Linked DNA regions of Lytechinus pictus. The protein of the gene in region 1 purifies or fractionates together with the protein of each later gene. This does not show direct contact. Links are inferred from orthologs where the notes say so. Each region holds a gene or a part of one and is shown in the gene's direction. Other genes may lie near its edges.

Region 1 (3,759 bases):
ATATTAGTTCTTCTGCCAGGTTGGTTACAAATACTGTATTTTGAAAGTCAAAATGGCCGCTACAGGCCTCAACAGTATTATGTACAATGTGAATGGGGACAAATGATTTTGATACATTTTTGCTTTGCTTGACTAAATGGTGTTGTATGAGTAAAGTATTGTCTGAAAACATTATTACTAACGAAATATATCATCTAAAATTTAGGTGATAAATATTATATTTCAAAATTCAAAATGGCCGCCATATGCCCTTTTGTGAAAATTATCTGTTCTCATTCAAATTGTATATACAGTAATACAATAAGGACCCATGGCAGCCATTTTCCATTTCAGAATACAGCATTTATCACCTTAAATGCACCAGACATGATATACCTCGTTAGGAACCATGGTTTTAGACAATATTTCACTCTTACGCAATACTTATAGTCAAGCAAAGTCAAATTCTGTCAAAAGCGTATGTCCCAAATTACAATGTACATAATACTTTTAGAACCTTTGGCAGCCATTTTTATATCAAAGTACAGAATTTATTACCTCCATGACCAATATGTGATGTATCTACTGTATTTAGAAATCATGTTTTGAAGACAATATTTTTACTCATACATCGCAGATACATGTACATGCATTTTATTGTTCTCACACTTGTAAAAAGTAGATTCCCTATACGCATGTAACATAATTTAATTAGGGATTGCATCAGCTATTTTGAATGTCAAAATACAGTATTTATCACTTACATGGCAGAAGAAATGCTATATTCTATAAAAATCATGTTTTCAAATAATGTTTTATCATACAACAGGATTTTATGGATTTCATAGTTAGGTAAATCAAAATTCTTACAAACCTACATGTCCCCATTTACATAGGTAATAGTGTTAGGGCCTATAGGGGCCATTTTGAATTTCACAATACAGCATTTATCTCATGCATGACATAAGAAATGATACATGTATGTTTCGCTAGAAAACATGTTTTCACACATTATTTTACTCCGTGATCACAATTACATGCATTTTGTAGTTCTTACTCTTGTGAAAATTAATTTCTCCAATCGCATCGTACACAATGTATAATGGGCCTATGGCGGCCATTTTGAATGTCAAAATGCAGCATTGATCACATAAATTGCATTTATCTTTCGTTAAAAATTATGTCTTTAGCCAGTATTCCACTCGCTTATCTTAAATGGGAATCCAACCCAAATGAAAACTTGTATTTGTAAGGAAAAGAAAAATCGGACAAGTTGATAGGTGAAAGTTTGAACAATATTGGACAAACAACAAGAAAGTTATGAATTTTTAAAAGTTGTAAATATTGGTAATCACTATACCCATGGAGACTTCAAATTGGCCGCATATGGGATGTCATAGTTATGTAAGGCAAGGACTACTCTTTCATGTACTCCAATACATATTATGGCTAAAATGTCATTTTTCCTATAAGTTTTATTTCAAATTATATTTTTCGTTCATGAGGACATAAAAAAAATATACTACCTGGGTTATATTTAGATTACTGCCCCAGTGGAATGGGTACTTAAAAGTAAACCACAAATCCCTGATAATAAAGTACATGGCCTATGGGAAAGTTGTCCTTGCCCCTTGTCATAATTTACTTCCCCAGTTGCCAATTTGAAATCTACATAGTATTAGTGATCTCAATTTTAAAACAGCTATAACTTTCTTAATGCTTGTCCGATTTCTTTCAAACTTTCACCATTCTGTTTAATTTATTTTTCTCCTTCCCAACACAACATTTTATGGCCAAGGCTGGATTCCCCTTTAATACTAGTAATGTGCATTTTAGTATTTACTCTTGTAAATTTATTTTGTCCCCATTATTGTACATAATACTGTCAGGGCATTTGGTGGCTTTTTGAATATTAACATGCTTCATTTATTACATACATGACATGACAAAATAATGATACATTTCGTTAGTAATCATGTTTTCATCCATTATTTCACAAAAAATCACAATTACTTGCATTTAGTGCTCACTTTTGTGAAATTTATCAAAATCTTAACCAAGGTTAAGTTTTTGAAATGTTATATGGACCTAGTTCATAAAACTTAGACATAAGGGTAAAAGTGTATCACTGAAGATCATGCATGAGTTTCAGGTTACATGATTAAGGTCAAAGGTCACTTAGGGTCAACGAACTTTGGCCATATTGGGGTTATTTGAGGAATTGTCATAACTTTAAAATTTTATGGATCTTGTTCATGAAACTTGGACATAAGAGCAACCATGTATCCCTGAATATCATGTGCCAGTTTCAGGTCACATGACCAAGGGCAATGGTCATTTAAGGTCAATGAACTTTGGCCATGATGGGGGTATTTGTTGAATTACCATCATAACTTTGATCGTTTATGGATCTGATTCATAAAACTTGGACATACATGTAAGAGTGATCAAATATCACTGAACATCTCATGCGAGTTTTGGGTCATATGACCGGTCACATAACCAAAGTCAAAGGTCATTTAAGGTCAATTAACTTTGGCCATTTTGGAGGTAAATATTAGATTGCTGCCATACCTTTCAAAGTTTATAGATATAGTTTATGAAATGTGGATATAGGGGTAATCAAGTAGCACTGACAAGTCTTACGTCGCATGATCAAGGTCAAATGTCATTTATTTTCAATGAACATAGTATTGTATCATTATATGAATTGTATTTTTTGTGAATAATTATGTTAGATAGTATTTTTTTTAAATTAGCGGTGCTTAGATGAATGGTGTGATGCAGGTGAGACTGCCAGAGGCGCTCCACTTAATTTGTAATAATCTTTTTTTCTGGTATGCACTGTATAACTTTTGTATTTATCTGTTAAAGCAGTATAAATCTTTTTTTTCTTTTGCAGAAATGGTTAGCTATATGAAAACGGTGGCCAATTCAGGTGATGAAGATTTATCAGTAGAAGAAAGGAACCTTCTGTCAGTAGCTTACAAGAATGTAATAGGAGCAAGACGTGCCTCATGGCGCATTGTCAGCAGCATTGAGCAGAAAGAAAAAGATAAAACAAAAGAAGGTGACCAAGACAAAGTAGAGGAGGTCAAAAAGGTCAGATTAGAGGTTAGTATTCTTCAAAAGTTTGAAATTTATTATAACAAGTTTAGTTTGCCGTCAGTGGCGGCACCAGAGCAGCATTTACTATATGTGTACATTTTTTTCAGATTTTGAAATTTCTGGGGGGGTGCAAATGCCCCCTGTTGCCGCAATTGTACGCAAGCGAATCAGGTCCCGAAGATGCGTCACTCATACCATAGCACACATACCCTAGGGGAAAAAATACACGGGGGCGGCGGGCGAATTCGCCCCGGAAATGCCTAAAGTCGCCCCCAAAATCACCCCAAATTATGCTTGGGGGCGGCATAAAATCTGGAAGTCGCCCCCGAAATAATTGCCAAACGAACTGGTTAGGCTGCGCTGCTAGCTCAGCGGCCCAAAGCCGGCCGGAACGCACAAGATCCGTTCTTTGATAGTGTAAAATTGCCTTTTTCATTGCATTTTGAAGATACCATCATAAATTTGCCAGAAAATAGATCTTGAACTCTGAACAAAATCAGTTTTTTCATTTTAGTGATTTTTCGATTTTGTTCTTAAATCTGAACTAAGCCTTCGGGTGCTCTGGAAATATCAAGTCAGAAATTAGGATTTTAAGCGGGGATTTTCGGTGAGTAACAGTTGGTGCCTGAGTATACATGCATACCTGCCAACCATTCCGATTTTGGCGGAACT
Region 2 (3,759 bases), on another chromosome or scaffold:
GAAATATCCTCTAAAAAATTTGCCCCCCTTTTGGAAAATCCTAGGTACACCAGTGCGTGCATGGAACGTATTCTAACGTTAGGCACAAATTAACGTCAGTGATCTTGATCCCCGTCTTCACCCAAAATTAAGGATTTCGTAGCTGAAAAAAAATTGACAAGAAAAAAAAAAAGATCTTCACGTTCAAAAGAGGGGACAAACGTCTTTTTTCGTTGCATTTTGACATTACAAATTATTAATTTGGCTTCTCAAGGGGGGGGCACGTCCCCTGGATCAGTTGTGACTCGTCAGGGGGGGCAGTCTGCCCCCCCCCCCCTTCGGTACACTAGTGGTTCCATGCTGTACGCTGTAGCGCGTAGATCAGAGTCTAGATCTAGAGACTAGACTAGAACTAAGATATTTTTTTTTAGATCTAGGACTGGTTCTGTATACGGACTAGACATATTAAAGTTTGGTAAATAAGCTAATATTGGTCCAAACCTAATCAAACGTAAAGTTCGGAATTAACAAGTTCGAAGTTAACCATGGCATTAGTCGGCTATTCCTATTAGTATTAGGCATTAGACAGGTCCAGATTTGAGGTAAAGTTAATGCGCTAGCCTAAGCTAGCCCTACCCAAGCACATGTCTTGCCATTAATGGCAGCTAGTTTATTAAGTGTTTAAGAATTTGATATATATATATATATAGATCTAAGCCTATAAGGCCTATGTAACTATGTAAGGGTACCGGTAATTTGACGATGCTAATTCATTCTGAGCAACGTGAATGCTTACGATCGGCAGTGGTCGAGACGAAGTCCACGCGCATGCGTACTCTCAATCCGAAGACACAAGTCATGAATATTCATATGTCGGTCCAGAACTCGGTGGGAAAAATAATTTCGCCCCCCGGGAGCCCCTCCTCCTTGGTTCTGCGGCCCATGCTGAGGTGCCCAATAGAACATGACAAATGAGAATTATAAGTAATAGGCCTAAGTAATGAGAAGACAGAAAAAAAGATATTGAAAATTGAAATGAAATTAAATTTGACAGAAAATCAAATCTCGTTTCAGTTCCTCTTGATAAAAACTTGAAATTTCCAGTGGTGATGAGCTAGGGGGGCCCTCTCTCGTCAAAAATTCAGCAGAAAAAAAAACAAACAAAAGCGATTCGATACGGTTCTAACTTCTACTTTTGTGGACAGGTGTTCAACTTGACAAAACGTAAGTGGTATTTAGATCTCTCCTCAAATTGATGTATGTTTTATTATGGTTCTGGTTTATTGTTAATGATATTTACAAAAGTATGAAAGGCAATTTCCCAGGTTTACTGACAACCATTGCTCAGTAAACTCGGAGTAAACTACCAAGTTTGCCCGACTTAAGTCCCATATATTTAGATTTATGTTGTTTGAAGTGAGACTGAACTAGGTTTGCGTTTGACGTTTGTGAGCGATGAGCGAGCGCGAGATTGATGCCATTAATTGCCACCCTTTTTAAAGCCCGTCTAAAATGTAGCCTTAATAAAGGTTGAATAATGACGATGGGTTTAAATTACCAATCTGTGATACAATCAGTCGAATTGCTCAGGACTAGTTTACAACTATTTTTATTTTAAAATATTAATATAGGCCTAATTTATAATTTTATTTTAGTTTGCAGTTTGGGAGCCAAATCCCTGGCTGGTTCAATTGTCATTGTCGTAAATGTAATGTAATTCAAGCTGTTATTTTGAACAATTTATAAGCCTGTTTGCTTATCACTACAGTCTACTTCTGATTTCAGGTTATTCACGAACTTAGCGAAGTAACGCTTGATAAAATAAAGCAATTGTGACGTAAATTGTAATGTTGCCCTGCAGTCGCGCATCATGTATGGCGCGCACATGCACTTAACTCGTAGAAATCTACAATATGTTGGTTCATAAACTGGTTCCAGCCAAATTTTTTAAATACTGAAAATAGCGATCAACTTCGGCTCCTTCTGCGCAAGCGCATTAGCAGAAATATGGCCAATATTGCCCTCTGTTTTGTACAGGATTCCTATGGGCAAAGCCCGGGGAGGGCAATATGGCAAATGTTTACCTCGTTGGTCTCGAAATATGACTTTTATTTATTTGCTAAAAGGCATAGGTAATAATGATTGATATAACCTTGTTCTGTGACTAGTAGTAGGCCTGCTCCATGTGTGGCAAAATAAGGTTGGCAATGTTTGGCTTATTTTCTCTTTTTCTTAAGGACAAATGCTTGATTATCTGACACTGTCAGTTTACATTTACTATTATAGCTATTCATCATATAACTTGGATCCTAATTCTTTTATTTTTTCTAAATTAAAAACAGAGATTGAAAATGACAATTTTCTTGCCACATTACTTTCCACCATAGAGGGCATATGCAAAAATATTCCCAAAATTCAAGTCTTTGAGTGCTCTGGTGAATACAAAAATTATTCCCAACCGAAATACTAATGGAAAATGAATTGCAACTGTATGGAAATTAGGATTTTTGGTCACAAAAGTGACATTTTAATGATTTTTTAAAGTGTGTGCTCTGTACAGCATTGGCATACCATAGTCCTACATGTCGATTCCCCACATTCAGGATGGTTGCAGTGAGCAAGTGATTTGGACCCACATATGTGATGCGACCAACCTCACATTTATTAGTGATTTGTAAGTTATTGCCATGGTTGCATGCAGTTTGTTTGTTGTACCATGTTTTGCTTTCATGAATCCAGCCATAAAATGTGTAAATGGCTGATAATACATTTCTTTTTTAGTTTCGTGAATTAATTTTATATAAAAATCATTCTTTTTGGAATAATTATGTAATAAAAAGATTTAGAAAATGAGAATTCAATCACCAGTGCCGGCACTGTTTACTCTGTCAGCTGTAAATGAGCTGATTTAAGCAGACCAGTGCATTTGCAATCGATTATGGTGTCGTCAAAAACATTAAAATTCAAAAGGAAAACTTTTTGGGTTGCTTAATTTTTTCCTAATGAAGAGTCAGAGAAATTATTTTCAAAAATAGATTATTTGAATTGATAAATCAGTCAACTGTCTCTTTATACTGCTCACTCTTCATTTAAAAAGAATCAACATCTTTAATATAATTAGATTATTTAAATTTTCCTCATGAATTTTGACGATTTTCTATCCAATTTCATTTATTCTGACAGTGACCACACAAGCATGCCTCTTCTCGGGAACAAGTTCAATACAAAGAAGACCCCTCCTAGAAGGTCGGCCTCTCTCAATAATCTTAATCGCTTGGAGAGCTCCATCAGAGAGGAAGAGTATGGGATGACCTACGGACAGCCAAAGGTCAAACTCGGGGGTCAAGAACTCAAGTTTGATGAAGACAATGGGGTGTGGATTGCTGGTGAGTTAGGCCCTTTGTTGAATACCGGTTCTTAATAATTCTGATTTTTTCCTCTATCTCTTACATCCTCTTTCTCTGTCTTATTCTATATTCCTCATTTTCTTCTTATTATTGCTCATTCTTTCTTCCTCAATCCCCCTTTTTCCTTCTTGTTTGTTCTCCTTACCCCCACCCCCATTTCTTTCTCATTCCTTCTCATCTTTGTTCTTCTCCTTTCCTTTTCCTTTTCCTTCTTCCTCTTTGTTCTCATCTCCTTTCTCTTCTTTTCTTCCTTTACATCATACACTCCTCATACAAATGAACAAATTTGTAATTTTTTTAGATATTTCCCATCAGTCTATATTTATTTTTTTATTGAAAAATTGTATCAATGATTGAAAAACGCTAGTATTGC
Region 3 (3,759 bases), on another chromosome or scaffold:
CTCATCATCAATACAATTCACTTTATCATGGAATTTCATTCTTAATTAGAATTTATTGATGTTGTGAAAATATTCATTAAGAAAAGGAATATTAGGTGGGAAACTACATAAATAAAGCCCATGTCATGTTTGCATATTATGGTGTCTTTATCAGGTATGACGTATTCAATATCCTGTAAACAATAGATTAAAAATATATAGAAAGAAGTCATAGAACACAGTTTGAAAGCCAAAGAATAAATTTGTTACTCAATTTAGAGAAAATAAGATGTTTTTCTCTTTTTTTGTTCTCGAGTTTATGCAATAACTTACTGATCAGATCAAAATGGAATTTAAGAAGTGGAATTACTTCTATTCCATATGCAAAAAAAAAAAAATTATACTCTAGAGTATAATAAAAAAATACTCTTAAAAAATGACAAGATGGTTCTGTATCTGTCTTAAAATATGACAGTAATAACAGATATTTAATTTATGAGTGCTTGATGTGAGGCTAGAGTGCCGGTGGCTTGAGGAAGTCTGTAGAAAGTCGGTTTTTCCCTCGAGTTTCAAGCCTCTGAAATATTCATGAAATTGACACGTACTGATAATAATGCCTGGCAAATAATGCATAGTGCAAGGCAGATTTAAAACCTTCCATTTTACTTGGCAAGGTCTTCTTGTCACTCTCTTAGAAAGGAAAAAAATCCTTAATATCATTCTTCAGTTACTGTAATTGTGAGAAAAACACATTATTTAGGGGGAAAGTGTTCAGGTGTGATTTGATTTGTTTTTTGCCCTTTCAATATGTTTTTTTTAATAAAACCACTTTACTTGTGATGAGAAAGGATCTATGCACTTATTTTTTTCTTAGGTTAGAATTACAAACATGAATCACAAATCAATACATAAACATGCATGGGCTGCAAGAACGTTGGGGATTTTCCTCCACTTGAAACAGCATAGCGTATGGACTATTGAACAAGGTTACTTATTACTCTTTACAATGGAGTTAGTTATTGCAGATCTTTATGTGCATTAATTAATTATATTTAAAAGAATTGTTTCAAGCAAACTGCTAAATGTTTTGTGAATTCTCTTTAATATCTGAACGTTTATTTATATTCCTTGACTGTATAACACGAAGCAGCACCGTACAGTGCACCCTACCTATCACCGCCAAGTGACACAAGTTGGAGAAGGTACGTAAAAATCATTTTTATTTTTTCAAATTTTAAACAGGAACTTCACCCTGACAATATGTTGATTCTAATAAAAGCAGCAAAATAAGAGAAAACAAATATTGAAGAATTGGTGAAAATCCATCACAGAATAGGAAAGTTGTAAATTGTTAAATTGATATGTCTATGACATCGTATGTGAGCAGCTTCCATTATGTCATGTATTATTATCCGCATCAGACATCTGAGCTGGTCATTTACAAAACCGTATTGCACTAGATTTTCTGAATATCGGGAAGGGATAGGTATATTATTTGTATTATATTCAGTCTGTATGCACGTATTGAATTTGCATGCAGAGACGGCGCAAAATATACCTTTGTATTTTCCCTGGTCTCACATCTGGGCATTTGAGGATGCGTAGAAAGAGATACGCTTCATAATGATCCGCGCAGCAAATATGGAATAAGAATAAGAAAGTTGAGGAATTTAAAAGTTTTGTGTTCTGTTTCACCATGGACTTGCCATTAGTTTTAAAGGACAATGGTATGCACATTAGAGAATCAGTGTTATGTAGTCACATAAATTATCTCATTTTAAGCTCTTGATTGAATCCTAAGTTATTTAAATATCAAACATGATTAATGTTTTACATCCTTGGAGGGAAAATGAAATATTTTAATATTACATTTTATACAATTTAGTGAGTGTGTGACTTCATCCGTTCAGGCTCCTCATTTCCCTACTGTCCATATTGTGTATATAACTGTGAAATAGTTGTTTAATTTTAAAATTTTATATTATTTTACATCAATTTTTGTCTCGCCTGCATAGCAGAGCGAGACTATAGGCGCCGCTTTTTTGACGGCGGCGTCAACATCAAATCTTAACCTAAGGTTAAGTTTTTGAAATGACATCATAACTTAGAAAGTATATGGACCTAGTTCATGAAACTTAGGCATAAGGTTAATCAAGTATTAGTGAACATCCTGCTCTAGTTTCAGGTCACGTGACCAAGGTCAAAGGTCATTTAGGGTCAATGAACTTTGGTCAAGTTGGGGGTATTTTTTGAATTACTATCATAACTTTGAACATTTATGGATCTAGTTCATGAAACTTGGACATAAGGTTAATCGAGTATTAGTGAACATTCTGCCTGAGTTTCAGGTCACATGACCAAGGTCAAAGGTCATTTAGGGTCAATAAACTTTATGGATCTAGTTCATGAAACTTGGACATTAGGTTAATCAAGTATCAATGAATATCCTGTGCGAGTTTCAGGTCACATGACTATGGTCAATGGTCATTTAAGGTCAATGAACTTTGGCCGTGTTGGGGGTATTTGTTAAATTACCATCCTAACTCTGAAAGTTTATGGATCTAGTTCATAAAACATGGACATAAGAGTAATCAAGTATCACTGAACATCCTGTACGAGTTTCAGGTCACATGACCCTGGTCAAAGGTCATTAAAGGTCAATGAACATTGGCCGTGTTGGGGGTATTTGTTGAATTACCATCCTAATTCTGAAAGCTTATGGATCTAGTTCATAAAACTTGGGATATAAGAGTAATCAAGTATCACTGAACATCCCCTGTGAGTTTCAGGTCACAAAACCAAGGTCAAAGGTCAGTTAAGGTCAATAAACTTAGGCCATGTTGGGGTAATTGTTGAATTGCCATCATAACTTTGAAAGTTTATGGATAGAGTGAATGAAATGTGGTCTTAAGTCACCGTTCAAATGTCATTCATGGTCAATGAACGTGATATTATGTCATTATATGATTGGTGTTTTTGTGAATGATTATTTTATAGTAGTTTTCAAAGTTAGCACTGCTGCTATATTAAATCGCGTAATGCAGGCGAGACTGCCAGAGGCGTTCCACTTGTTATGAAATATTTATGATTATGCTTGTCTGATTTTTCTCGGTATATTCAAATAGACACTTTGCCTTTAACACCAACAACAACAAATATCTGCAGTGTTTGTACATCTGAATATACTTTTGTTTAATGCCCCTTTTTAGTGTTTGTAAATGCTCCAAAACTGTATGTCAGCATTTCAGTGCATTTTTAAAAAGATTTTATGAATTATATGCCCTTAAATAGTTATGTGGAGGTTATGAAAAAAAAAACTGGATAAATTTGTGGTTTTAACATGAAAATGTGCTTTACTGGATAAATGTATGGTTTCACATGAAAATTGCATTGTTTTAGTTTTTCAGGAATTATATGCTCTTAAATAGCTATGTGGAGAATACAAAATAATCAATGTTCTTTACTAGATAAATCGGTGGTTTTACATGAAAAAATATATTTTCCTTATCAAAATTAAATATCTGAATCTGCATATATTGTTTGTTTTTTTCAAATATCAAAACACTTTTTAAAAAAGTTTACAAATATTTTCAATACTTGTTATAAAATTGAAGTTGAATAATTATTCTGTGAGAATTTTTATTTAGGAAAAATGATTCATTCTAATTTTTATTCCAATAATACTTGTTTTTTAGTCAAGCAGTGTTAAAGCGATATCTATTTCCTTTTATTAACAATGATTATTTCCATTCCTTGCAAATTTTTATAAACCATGGTTAT

Evidence for each region.
Region 2: the proteins of uncharacterized protein LOC129254990 (region 1) and protein chibby homolog 1-like purify together in Homo sapiens (affinity purification with mass spectrometry; 3 studies listed by BioGRID and IntAct, with this or other methods). This does not show direct contact. The link is inferred for Lytechinus pictus from reciprocal best matches to the Homo sapiens genes YWHAE and CBY1.
Region 3: the proteins of uncharacterized protein LOC129254990 (region 1) and CREB-regulated transcription coactivator 1-like purify together in Homo sapiens (affinity purification with mass spectrometry; 3 studies listed by BioGRID and IntAct, with this or other methods). This does not show direct contact. The link is inferred for Lytechinus pictus from reciprocal best matches to the Homo sapiens genes YWHAE and CRTC1.

Annotation. Positions count from the first base shown.
Region 1 is NC_087246.1:3,535,000-3,538,758, forward strand, and holds the start of uncharacterized protein LOC129254990, read left to right. Parts: upstream 1-1,183; 5' UTR 1,184-2,748; coding exon 2,749-3,093; intron 3,094-3,759. UniProt on the Homo sapiens protein: Adapter protein implicated in the regulation of a large spectrum of both general and specialized signaling pathways. Binds to a large number of partners, usually by recognition of a phosphoserine or phosphothreonine motif.
Region 2 is NC_087254.1:20,301,058-20,304,816, forward strand, and holds the start of protein chibby homolog 1-like, read left to right. Parts: upstream 1-1,107; 5' UTR 1,108-1,203; intron 1,204-3,162; 5' UTR 3,163-3,175; coding exon 3,176-3,365; intron 3,366-3,759. UniProt on the Homo sapiens protein: Inhibits the Wnt/Wingless pathway by binding to CTNNB1/beta-catenin and inhibiting beta-catenin-mediated transcriptional activation through competition with TCF/LEF transcription factors.
Region 3 is NW_026974140.1:7,637,177-7,640,935, forward strand, and holds the start of CREB-regulated transcription coactivator 1-like, read left to right. Parts: upstream 1-1,124; 5' UTR 1,125-1,181; intron 1,182-3,759. UniProt on the Homo sapiens protein: Transcriptional coactivator for CREB1 which activates transcription through both consensus and variant cAMP response element (CRE) sites.